Arabidopsis thaliana: one gene and its partners. The protein of the gene in region 1 interacts with the protein of each later gene in a pairwise test. Each region holds a gene or a part of one and is shown in the gene's direction. Other genes may lie near its edges.

Region 1 (4,218 bases):
GTTCATAAGATCCGTTCATTGCCACCCTCAAATAATCCTTTCATTATCTCTTTATCTATTTGTATAGAAAATTAGTTTGTGAGAAAAACGCATCAGGTCTGATATATATATATAAACCAACGATTAAAGGTTTAAGAAATAATAAAAATTAGAGTGTGAAAATAATAAAATTTCGCATTACTCAAACAGTTGGTAATTCTTGCTTATATTGTTATGTAACTCATAACCAAAAATAGATATATTAAATAATATATTGTTATATATTAATTATCAAGATAATTAATTAATTTTTTGTTAATTGATGAATTTCTTTATAAAATTCCAATGGTCACAAAATACAAAGGGAATACAAAAGCGTGATATGACATTTGAAACGTAAAAAAGCTTTTTTGAATTTTCACTTTGTTGCCTTGTGTGGCACTTAAGCGGGTCCCATTTTACAGCTTGCCACGTGTCGACGTAATGTACTCAGAATAACACGGTACTATTGGAAGCATGCACCTTCAGTTATTTGTCCACACATGATAATCAAAAAAAAAAAGTGATACGTAGAAGTTTTTGCATTGGTAAAAAATATTTTAATTTATATTCTGTTTTCATTAAATTTTAAATTATTCTATTTTAAAGTATTTGTTTAACCGTTAAAAGGTAAAACTATATAGTATACCACTTAAGTTTAGGGATGATGAAAAAAACTACCACGTAAAACAATAATAAATCGGTTGGTTGAAACCTTGCAAGTTCCATGTAAATTTATTAAAGTATATATTATTTTAAAAATATTTTATAGATAAAAAAACTAAATTAATAGTGCCGTGCACTTTTCTTATATGATTTTTGTTATTATAATTTTTTTTAATTTTTTTATTATAACTTACTATAGAGACAAAAATATATATATGCTTATTGGATGAAAACAATCGCTATCGTTGTTAATGGTCGCTCGTGTCAAGCCACACTTTGAGCCTATATGAACACAGACGATAATGCATGGTTAAAGAGGTTAAGAAAGTCATTATCGACTCCGAAATCACTATTTTACCCTCCTTTGCCTTGGTTAGTATCGTAATTTAAAAAGATTCGACATGATTAGTCAGACTTTGTATATGTGTCGAATTGTCGCCACTCTTTATCTCCTTTTAGTACAAACCAAACCACACTAAACTCGGCTGAATTATGGGAGATTATGTATTATTATTGATTGCCAACAAATTCTAATATTCCGGGTCTAAAATAATAAAATATTATTTTTTGGGGTACAATTGTTAATTACAAACACTAATCTGAGATTAACAGTATTTTGTAGGTCAAACAAACTTTACAAAAAACAAATGGTTTTATCATCTTATGAATTGAAATCTACAGAAGATGAAAGATAAACTACGATTTAATTCTAGCTAAGTACATATAGATCAAATTAATTAGTGAAAAGGATCAACAAAGCAAATTAAATGTACTCTCTCATGATTCACGAAGATAAGATAGCATCATCTATTTTAATTTGAAATCAATGATAGAAATCTCTTTACCTACACCTTCCTACACATATGGGTCAAAACGTTTTTTTTTTGGTATGACATTTTATTCCTTTTTCCTGTTGCTAATCTACATATATAACTACATAGCGTACAGCTATACATATTAAATATATTAGATCTCTACAATAGGTTAAACTGTAACACAAACTATTGATTTAGATAGCTACGGTAATTAATACGTTTTGATCGTCCATATTCCACAAATATAAATAGAAATACCATTTGATGTGTAACAAAAAAATCTCATAGACATTTATGGTTTTAATACAAAAAAAATTCTCAAAAATTGTAAATAAATACGAGTGGATACGATGGTCTACGTACAAAAGATTCCAGAGGATAAAAGCCATTTTGATTTGTCGTTTTAATGCCTTCCATTTTTAAAAAGAAAGATTACTAACGCCGACTCTCTAAAACTCTCTCAAACCATAAAAAATATTCTCCGATCATCATTTTAATGGAGAGTACAGATTCTTCCGGTGGTCCTCCGCCGCCGCAACCAAACCTCCCTCCAGGATTCCGGTTTCATCCAACAGACGAAGAACTTGTAATTCATTACCTCAAACGCAAAGCAGATTCTGTTCCTTTACCAGTCGCGATCATCGCCGACGTTGATCTTTACAAATTTGATCCATGGGAACTTCCCGGTAAGTTGAAACAAGACCAAGATCATAATCCGATCAGATCTGTTTCATTTTTTTTTTTACTGATTTTTGTTTTTTTTTGTGTTCTTGATTGTGACAGCGAAAGCTTCGTTTGGAGAACAAGAATGGTATTTTTTCAGTCCAAGAGATCGGAAATATCCCAACGGAGCTAGACCTAACCGAGCTGCGACTTCCGGTTATTGGAAAGCGACTGGTACAGATAAACCGGTGATTTCAACCGGCGGTGGTGGTAGTAAAAAAGTGGGAGTTAAAAAGGCTCTAGTGTTTTACAGTGGTAAACCACCAAAAGGAGTTAAATCAGATTGGATTATGCATGAATATCGGTTAACTGATAATAAACCTACTCATATTTGTGACTTCGGCAACAAGAAAAACTCTCTCAGGGTATATTATTATAATATTCTTAAAATCTTGATTTTAAAAGAAAAGTTTTGATTGGCTAATTTTTGATTCTTTTTATTACTATGTAGCTTGATGATTGGGTGTTGTGTCGTATCTACAAGAAAAACAATAGTACAGCATCTAGACATCATCATCATCTTCATCATATTCATCTAGATAATGATCATCATCGTCATGATATGATGATTGATGATGATCGATTCCGTCATGTTCCTCCTGGTCTTCACTTCCCGGCGATTTTTTCTGACAATAATGATCCGACGGCTATATATGATGGTGGCGGCGGCGGATACGGAGGTGGAAGTTACTCGATGAATCATTGTTTCGCATCTGGATCAAAGCAGGAGCAGTTGTTTCCACCGGTGATGATGATGACTAGTCTAAATCAAGATTCCGGTATTGGATCGTCGTCGTCACCTAGCAAGAGATTTAACGGCGGCGGCGTTGGAGATTGTTCGACTTCTATGGCGGCGACGCCGTTAATGCAGAACCAAGGTGGGATTTACCAATTGCCTGGTTTGAATTGGTATTCTTGAAAACAATTTACGATGAAGAATTTTTAAAATTTGTGTATATATATACGGTTTGAGTGATTAGGGGGCATTGGGGGATTTATTTACGGTTGATTATTATTGTAGTGTTATAGAACTAAGGAGATTAAATTAAATAGATTGGAGGAGAGGTATAAGGTAACATATAGAAATTATACAACAATAGTTTAAATATTCTTTTCTTTTCTTTTTCATGTTATTATTTTTACTAATGTATAGGTGATGATTATACTTAGATGTTTGTAGCTTGTATAAATTAATGCATGCATATATATAAAAATATATTAACAGTTATAGAAACTAGATTACCCTTGTGCTTTTCTTCAGCTATTTATTTTCAGTACTATCAGCTTCAACATTCGCATGTTTTGCTGCAAATTTTATTTTTTAAAAACATGATTTTAAAGTGACATCAGAAATACTATTTGGTAGAAGACCCTAACTTATAAGAAACAGACGATAATGAAACTATCTGGCGGAGCTTTTATTTGACTTTGTCGAAAACATGTTCGGAACCAAATCTTGGCAATCAAAATAAGTGGAGATAAAAGATACGACAAAGGGCCTTCAAATCTGGTTTGAATCAATAGTTTTAAACTGAAAAGTTTTAATCTTTTTGTTAGATCAAACAAATGTTGCACTTGTTGTAAAAACAATGTTCAAAAAATAAATATGATGTTCATAATTAAATTCGAATCGAATACATGTAATGGACATCTTTAATCATTTTTTTTTTCTTTTCTTTTCATAATGATAAATACAAATTTGATGCTGAGTAGAATAATAAAAAACACAATATTACGTTTATATTAAACAAAAAAAGGCATACATATCCATCTCTTTATATTATATTTATACCATCCTTAACCAAATTTGATTTCCAAGAAAAGAGAAGCTATTCCCATGGCAAGTAATGAAGTTCAAGCTAATCAACTCGAAAGGCAGAATGCTACTGTCAGCGATGTGTTAGCCGATCCTCTATGCACATGTTGGTGAGTTCATAACACAATTTAATTACTAGTTTCCAAAATTTAGTGTCTCTCTAATATATATGTTCTTCTT
Region 2 (3,736 bases), on another chromosome or scaffold:
ATTTTCCTTCGGTAAAATCATTTTCAGTTATTGACATTTGAATTGTTCAATTTCAAATTTCAAATATTATAATTCAATTCAAAGACTAGCTAAGTTTTTAAAAGTAATTAGTGAGAGATCTCACAGTGATATAAACCACATTCATTTTAATTCATAGCAAAGTAAATGGTAAGAAATGAAAATGGAAGAAAGAGAGGAGAGTAGTTCACACGAACATCTGAAGGAGAAGTTGAGAGAGCTTGAGGAGGAATGGACAGCCATGAAAACAGGTAAAAACTCATCTGCGGTTTCATGGATTACCGTGGAAGATGCTCTTGAGTATGTCGAAAACTCTCCCAGAAACCTAATGCTCTCTCTCCAACACAAACCAAAGGCAGAGATGATACAAGAAATATCGCCATTAAGGAGAAAACTCTTTCACGACTCTGATGATGATGATCAAACTAAGAAGACGACATTGCTTTCTCATTCATCTTGTTGGTCTTCGAATGTGACGAGTTCGAGTGATACCACGAAAGCAAAGAAGAAGACAACGATTAGAAGATTTGTTTCTGTTACAATGGTGCTGCTTTTGTCATGGGTTTTAGTTGTGTTGATGAACCACTTTGATCATCTCTCCATGAATACACAAATCATTACTTTGGTTCCTACTTGATATTTTTATTTATTTTGGTTTGAGAATGTTCATCAATCTCAATAAATAAAAAAAGTTTAGTTTTGTATTATTACCTCTCGCCTTCTCTTTTAATTCATTGAACCTCTTCAACTTTGGCTGTAACTATGTTGGTTAAAACAGTATAAGTAATGTATGTATTTATGGTTTTAGGAAAATCTTACAAAATAATACTCTATCATTGGATGAAGAAGCAAAAACTACACCCCTCTACATCTTTTCTATTCATAAACTTTTTTGGGGAAAGAACTACATTGGTGGTGATTAGGTGCATCGGTGACACTAATGTTGAAAATATGTTTTGTGTAAAATTAGTATGGTTAAAGCTAATCATTTAGTTGAGCAAAAAAAGATGCTAATCATTTAAATAGAAAATGGACTCAAACAAAAGAAGGCCACACATTCAATTGTTACATCTTTATTGGGTTTTCATTTTTGGAAGCTATTTTTATGAATTTGCAGTGTTTTGTTGCCCAAAAGAAAAAAAGCATAATTCCAAGTATATCTTTCATTTTGAATCCATCAGTCATATGTTTTACTTGAATCAACTATTTGTTGGGTTTTACGAAGTTACTTGTTAAGAAGATTCAAAATATATATAATTAGACTATCAAAGGAACAAAAGAATGTAATTGGGTCATAACTTTTTCCGAAGCTTACGTGACTTGGGAGAAAATCAAACCCATTAGTTTCACCCTTAATCAAACTAATCACAAATTTTGAACTTTGCAAAGAAGGTAAAATAATAATCAGCAAAAAGATTAATAAAATGACAAAAGTATCTCTTTAAAAGATTAATAAAGAAATAAAGAAATGACATAAGCTCTCACCGACCGACGTCTTGTCTTTTTTATTCTTAAGGTCGGTGCCATGTCGACGCCTTCAAGCTTAGAATCTCGCCACGTGTGGGATAAACTAACCGAACCCAATCGAACCAGACAGACCAAAGACAGACCAGACCGGACTAGTTGTATGTCGGCATCAGCGTTCTAGTACGACGTTAATTAAAAAAATAAAAATAAAATATTATTTATGATATTCCACCAATAAGAGCCAATGAAAAGTGTGTGAACCAACCAACTTCTGTAGCAAACCGTACCATTTCTCTCTTAGATACCTTTACCTTCCTTCTATAAATTAGGTTCTTCCTTTCACATTTCTTTGTCTTCTTCTTCTACATAAAATTGATTCGCCTCGAAATTTACACAGACTTGTCGCTCTCTCTTTCTCTCTTATTTCACAGAGCCCCTAAACATTTCCAAAAATCTTGCAAAGGAAGAAAAACAATGGACAAATTTTGGACTTTCCTCACTGCTCTTCATTCAGGCGCTGGGTAATTATTCTTAATCTTAATTTTCCTTCCATTATGTTTCCAAAATTAGTTACTTTTTGATTTCCTCTGTTTCGATTTCTAATCCAAACCGTAATCGATTTGTTGGTAATGTATATGCAGGCCTATCGTGATGTTACTTTATCCATTGTAAGTTTCTCTCTTGTTAAACCCTTTAACAAAAGAAAAAGTTTCTTTCTGGTTCGATCTCTCTACTTTTTGTTGAAGATTAAAAACAAAAATCTGTGAATATTTACTAATTATGTTTTTGATTACAGGTACGCATCGGTGATAGCAATGGAGAGCACAACAAAAGTGGACGATGAACAGTGGCTTGCGTATTGGATAATATATTCGTTCCTCTCACTCACGGAACTGATTCTGCAATCGCTTATTGAGTGGATTCCGATTTGGTATACGGTGAAACTTGTGTTCGTGGCTTGGCTAGTTCTTCCTCAGTTTCAAGGCGCAGCTTTTATCTACAACCGTGTTGTTAGAGAACAGTTCAAGAAACACGGCGTCCTCCGCTCCACCCACTCCAAGCCCACCAAGCCCAACATCCTCCACTCCATTTTCCCCCACCGGGTAAATTTTTTATCTTTTTGGTTTTGAGATTCATAAAGCAAAAAAAAAAAGTAAAAGTAACCATTAGTTTTAGTATTCTTTGGTGGGTCAAAGAACGAATCTTTGTTTATAAAGATTAATAATGCATTGAATATAGTCCTAGGAAACGTAAGAGTGTGCCTAATTCTCTAACGTAGCGACCATGAGCGTATAACAAGTGTTTTGTATACTTTTGTTAATTCTTTAATTCGTTTTTAAATTAATTGTGAATTTTAAAATGTGATATAGGAGGGACACGAGGCTCACAGTCACTGAATCAGAAGGGTGGAGCAGACAGAAGAAGCCTGACTAGTATTATTGTAATGGTCTTGGTGGTGGTCCCATCATGTCCCTGTCTAATCTACTTTTTACTTTATTTTTATTTATCACAAAAAATGGGTTTAGGAATGTTGATGATGATGACTGATGAGGTGTGTAATCGTTTTTAAATTAGAAAATGGCTTCTTCTGCTTGTATGATTGTATCGCTAATCTTCCACGCGTATTTCTTTAATGTCAACGCTAATAATTTCCAATTGTGTCCCTTCTTGAACTTATCATACATATTTTGATGACGCAAATATCTCACCGAATCAAACCCATAACAGTATATCCCTTTTTTTGGGGCCTAAAACCAAAATTGAAGTGAGGCTTACAGAGTTAGAACGCAATTTAAACCAGTGACTAATGTTTTGATTGGTTCTCCCTCTGCCACCTGCAAACGCTGCGTTTGCGGGTGGTAGCGGTTGTTAGCGTTTGACACTAATCATAGAAACCGCTAGATACCGTTTTGGACCGCTTGAAATCGCCAGATTTCAAAAGCTTCTTCCCGTAAGCGTTTGCGGTTGCGGGCGGTAGCGGTTAGGTTAATTTTTTTTTTTAATTAATTAAAATAATTATATCTTCCATCCAAACCCTATATATTTTATTCTTATCAGAAAACCCTAATCAATATATTGAAACCCTATTTTCTCAATTATGGCATCTACCCAAACTAACGAAAATCAAAATCAAAATCAAAAATCAAACGTAAGTATGATCTATCCTTTCATCCATTCATTAGCTAGTGTAATTCTCTGAGTATTTCATGGCATCGTCATTTTTTTTATTTTGTATTTTTTTGAGTTTTTT
Region 3 (4,313 bases), on another chromosome or scaffold:
CAGGCAACGGCTTCTGCATTTTCCCTGTCAACATGATGACAAATGGGGAATTTCAAAAAAACAAAAAATTGAAAGATGCAGTCAGAAGAAGAATAAAAAAAAGCAAACCTTTGATTTTGTTGACCAACCATTTTGTTCCTCCTTCAATGCTCGTTGACACCGACTGGCATAAACAAAAACATTGTTTTATATGTTAGAAAAGATCACAGTTTCAAACAAAATAATCTAACCACATGAGCAAGAAGAGAAGACATTATAGGATCATATATTTGAATCATTTCTTAAGATATCATGGTTTTGGTAATTAGATGTTCTTCCTTATGTGACGTGATTTACCTAACAATGAACTCAAAACATTCGTACAACTGCATGATACCAAAATTACGATAAAGGTGGTTGATTATATCGGAACCACGTCAATAGATCAAAATCGATTAGGAAAACAGATGAATCAGATTCTATAGGATGGGTCAAAAAAAGACGTACGTTGAGATCGTTGCCGACGGAGTCAAACTGCTTGTTAGCCTTTTGGCCTAACCAGTAGGATCCAACCTTGTTGAAGATCTGATCCATATTCTCTCGAGAAAGGATAGAGAAGATTTTGAGAAAACGAAGGACGACTTTCTTTCTTTTTCTTCCGGGAAAGAATTTTGGGAACCCACCACTCTCGCACCGTTGGATTCGTTATTTGTGCACTATTCCTGCAGCCAATTAACTTATGACATGTGGCAAATACATAAACACCAATATATTTATTGAAGCAAGCAGGCAGCATTATACTGTACAAATTACAAAAAAAAGTACTTGCCTATCACTCCTCCTTGGGACTGACTATCTATCTATTGGGCCTTCAATGAAAATCAGATTAAATAGGTGCAACACAACTTGGGAACTGAAGAACCACATGGCACAAAACAGAGTAAAATTAAAGACTACAATCAATCCTTTTTTTTTGCCATTCCTCCCATGATTTTACTTGTCTATTAGACGAACCTCAGCTAAATTTGTAATTACAGTCGAAAATATTATTAAGCTCTTTAACACTTTTATAGCCTACCCTTGTCTTTGTGCATTCCAGAGTAATACGAATCGATTCAAATCAAGCCAATAAAATAAAACCAAGCCTAACTACACTTTATTTAATGCTTAATTTTTGTCCTTGCCAACATTACAACTTTTTAGAAAAACCATTTGATATGATTTTTTAACTTGGGCCGTGACATTACTAATGAGGCCCACAATGTACTTACTCCGACGTGTAATTGTCTCCGATAAAGACAAGGAACCATTTGGAACCTCTCACGCGCTTTAGCTGGAAATTACGTGGAGTTGAGCTACTCGCGACTCTATCCTATGTATAATTGTATATCAGTTTTCCGTCTCCATCAAATATCCTAGAGAGCCACGAATTTTTCCTTCTTTGTTGTAAATTATGAATATTAGGCCACATAATACGGAAAGTCTTAAAGGGTTTGGACCATTCTCAATCTTATGTTCTAGTAGCTTGATGATTTTTTATAAAAACAATATGGAAATACTTTTATCTCTATCCGATTTCCTATGTCAATATGTGTCACAGGATTTTACACGTCTAACTTATGTTGGAAACGCTATCATCTTTTCTTTTTTTTTTTTTATAGTAAACAATTGTATTTGTTATCATCTACAACTCTAAAAAATACATTTCGAAAAATAGGAGAGAGCGAGTAGGAAATAAGAAAGTGGCAACGCGAGAGTAGGAACCGGAAATGGTAAAAAGATTCTGAGGATAAAAGAGAAAGCAGAGAAACAGACAAACTTTATTTGGAGAGATGTTAACGTGGATCGAATATCCTCACGTTCACACTATCCCATTGGATGTAGCACGAGGCCGCCACACGCCCCTACATCTGGCTTTCATATCCACCCTCCACGTGGATCTCAATCCAACGGTGACCACACGCCTTTTCCCTCTTATATAAACCCTTCCTCCTTCCTCTTTCTTATCATCATCACCATCTCTTACAACAAATCTCAGGCGGCTCAACACTATCCTCTTCTACATTTTCCAACGATGGCCTCAAACGCACTCTCGTCTTTCACCGCCGCTAATCCCGCTCTGTCTCCTAAGCCACTACTCCCTCACGGCTCTGCTTCTCCGTCGGTTTCTCTCGGCTTCTCCAGGAAAGTTGGCGGCGGCAGAGCAGTGGTCGTTGCAGCGGCTACGGTGGACACAAACAACATGCCGATGACCGGAGTCGTGTTCCAGCCTTTCGAAGAGGTGAAGAAAGCCGATCTGGCCATTCCAATCACATCTCATGCCTCTCTCGCTCGCCAGAGGTTTGCCGACGCTAGCGAGGCAGTCATTAATGAGCAAATCAAGTAAGCTTCTCTTTTCTTTTCTGTCTAATTAAAGAAACGAAAATGTTTAAAGATTAGATCTAACGGAGGAGGTTGCTTTCTATTTACAGTGTGGAATACAACGTCTCCTATGTGTACCATTCAATGTACGCATACTTTGACAGAGACAACGTTGCTATGAAGGGACTAGCCAAGTAATTATTACCTTCTAACTCTAATCTTAATCTTATTTATAATAATCTTGATCGTATACTTCAAAATGAGATATATATGTCCATACTAAACATGAGTTTTTATAATCACCAGATTTTTCAAGGAATCAAGTGAGGAAGAGAGAGGGCATGCTGAGAAGTTTATGGAGTACCAGGTTTTCTATTTTTACCTTCTTTTCTGTTTTAGAAAAGTTGATAAAGACTTGTGATTCACTTAGTTAATATTCATATTGTTGGTTTGTTGTCTCTATACAGAACCAAAGAGGAGGAAGAGTGAAACTCCACCCTATCGTCTCACCTATCTCAGAATTCGAACATGCTGAAAAAGGAGATGCTTTATATGGTAAAACTTTAAGCAAATACACTATCTTAATCCTAAAATAACAACTTTTCTTTTTTTTTAAAGATACAGATATTTATTAGTTTACTAATCTTTGTTTTCAGCAATGGAGTTGGCTCTGTCTCTAGAGAAACTCACTAATGAGAAGCTTCTAAACGTTCACAAAGTAAGTTCCCTAACTTATCCATTTGATCATCAAAGATTAAACTTATAGTCATTTTCCTAATACTAACTAACACGTACTTTTGGCCAACAAAACAGGTGGCCTCAGAGAACAATGATCCCCAGTTAGCTGATTTCGTTGAGAGTGAATTTCTGGGAGAGCAGGTAAAAGTTCTTTTGCCTTTGTTCGGATTACAACTAGTGACTTGTATAATCTGTACATGTTCTGACTCAGAATATATTATGGACTATTTCTAGATTGAAGCAATCAAGAAGATCTCAGACTACATCACCCAGCTAAGGATGATCGGCAAAGGCCACGGTACGAATCAAAACCCTATATTGAGATAGTGTTCTCAGACTTGAATGGTATTTCTAAAAGCTTATTTACATTTGTTCTGTCTTTGCAGGAGTTTGGCATTTCGACCAGATGCTTCTGAACTAGACTTGGACCTCTATAAGTTCACTTTCAGATGACCAATGTTGGGGTTAAAACAGAAGAACCCGAAGATTCTGTAAAAGCTTTAGATTGAACATTATGGACTAATAAGATTGTAGTAGTAAGCTTTGTGTTCAAGATGGTTTTTGTAATAACTTCGTAAGCTTAATCAATGAAGTTTTTGTTTTAGTATATTCTAACTAGCTATAAACCTACGGCCAAACAATGCGTAACTAAGAAAATAGTGAAAACTCAGACCTATCTAATTAAACATAGAATATTTATGATCCAACTTGAAAGAGTAAGCATAACGAACCTGTTTATGAAGAACATGTAAAAGAAGCATGAAGCGTATGTCACTTTCCACCGAGAAGGACAAGCTGGTCACTGGGATATAACTGAACAGCAAACAAGAACAAGATCACTGTCACATCAAAGCAAAAGAGATGCTCTTACTTTGATTCCATGTTGAACAGTAGAAAATCATTTCTAACCAAACAAAGACCTGTCTGTTCTACAAAGAGCTGACAAATGTACGAAAATGAGTATCCATAAGAAGTTCATGACGTATGAAAACACCATTAAGCTTTTCATGTACAGATTCTCCCTTAGTGATTTATCTTTTCATCATGGTTCTTCAAACCACTAAGCATTAAGTAAAGATTGAGAATCTTATTTGTATAATGACGAAGAAGTCCCTCGCACGGGAACAATCAAGATTGGATACTTGTATGACCCTAACAAGAACACTTATCACAGTAGTAATGCTCTGATCAAAAGCAAGGAAATGTCAAATAATCCCGAATGTTATAGCACCATG

The links.
Region 2: the proteins of NAM (region 1) and HVA22D interact in a two-hybrid assay, tested with the Arabidopsis thaliana proteins (one large-scale study listed by BioGRID).
Region 3: the proteins of NAM (region 1) and FER1 interact in a two-hybrid assay, tested with the Arabidopsis thaliana proteins (one large-scale study listed by BioGRID).

The regions. Positions count from the first base shown.
Region 1 is NC_003070.9:19,688,208-19,692,425, reverse strand, and holds NAM (NAC (No Apical Meristem) domain transcriptional regulator superfamily protein), read left to right. Parts: upstream 1-1,836; 5' UTR 1,837-1,995; coding exon 1,996-2,185; intron 2,186-2,282; coding exon 2,283-2,587; intron 2,588-2,673; coding exon 2,674-3,141; 3' UTR 3,142-3,718; downstream 3,719-4,218. UniProt on the Arabidopsis thaliana protein: May encode a transcription factor involved in the elaboration of shoot apical meristems (SAM).
Region 2 is NC_003075.7:12,826,101-12,829,836, forward strand, and holds HVA22D (HVA22 homologue D), read left to right. Parts: upstream 1-1,755; 5' UTR 1,756-1,959; coding exon 1,960-2,006; intron 2,007-2,126; coding exon 2,127-2,153; exon of another isoform or gene 2,154-2,281; coding exon 2,282-2,588; intron 2,589-2,740; coding exon of another isoform or gene 2,741-2,760; intron 2,761-2,855; coding exon 2,856-2,882; coding exon of another isoform or gene 2,883-2,919; 3' UTR 2,920-3,203; downstream 3,204-3,736. Other genes in the region: AT4G24950 (uncharacterized protein), read left to right, coding at 182-655.
Region 3 is NC_003076.8:227,335-231,647, reverse strand, and holds FER1 (ferretin 1), read left to right. Parts: upstream 1-1,596; 5' UTR 1,597-2,053; coding exon 2,054-2,361; exon of another isoform or gene 2,362-2,385; intron 2,386-2,450; coding exon 2,451-2,534; intron 2,535-2,646; coding exon 2,647-2,707; intron 2,708-2,807; coding exon 2,808-2,895; intron 2,896-2,996; coding exon 2,997-3,058; intron 3,059-3,153; coding exon 3,154-3,219; intron 3,220-3,312; coding exon 3,313-3,376; intron 3,377-3,464; coding exon 3,465-3,499; 3' UTR 3,500-3,695; downstream 3,696-4,313. Other genes in the region: AT5G01610 (hypothetical protein (Protein of unknown function, DUF538)), read right to left, coding at 1-24, 109-163, 487-573.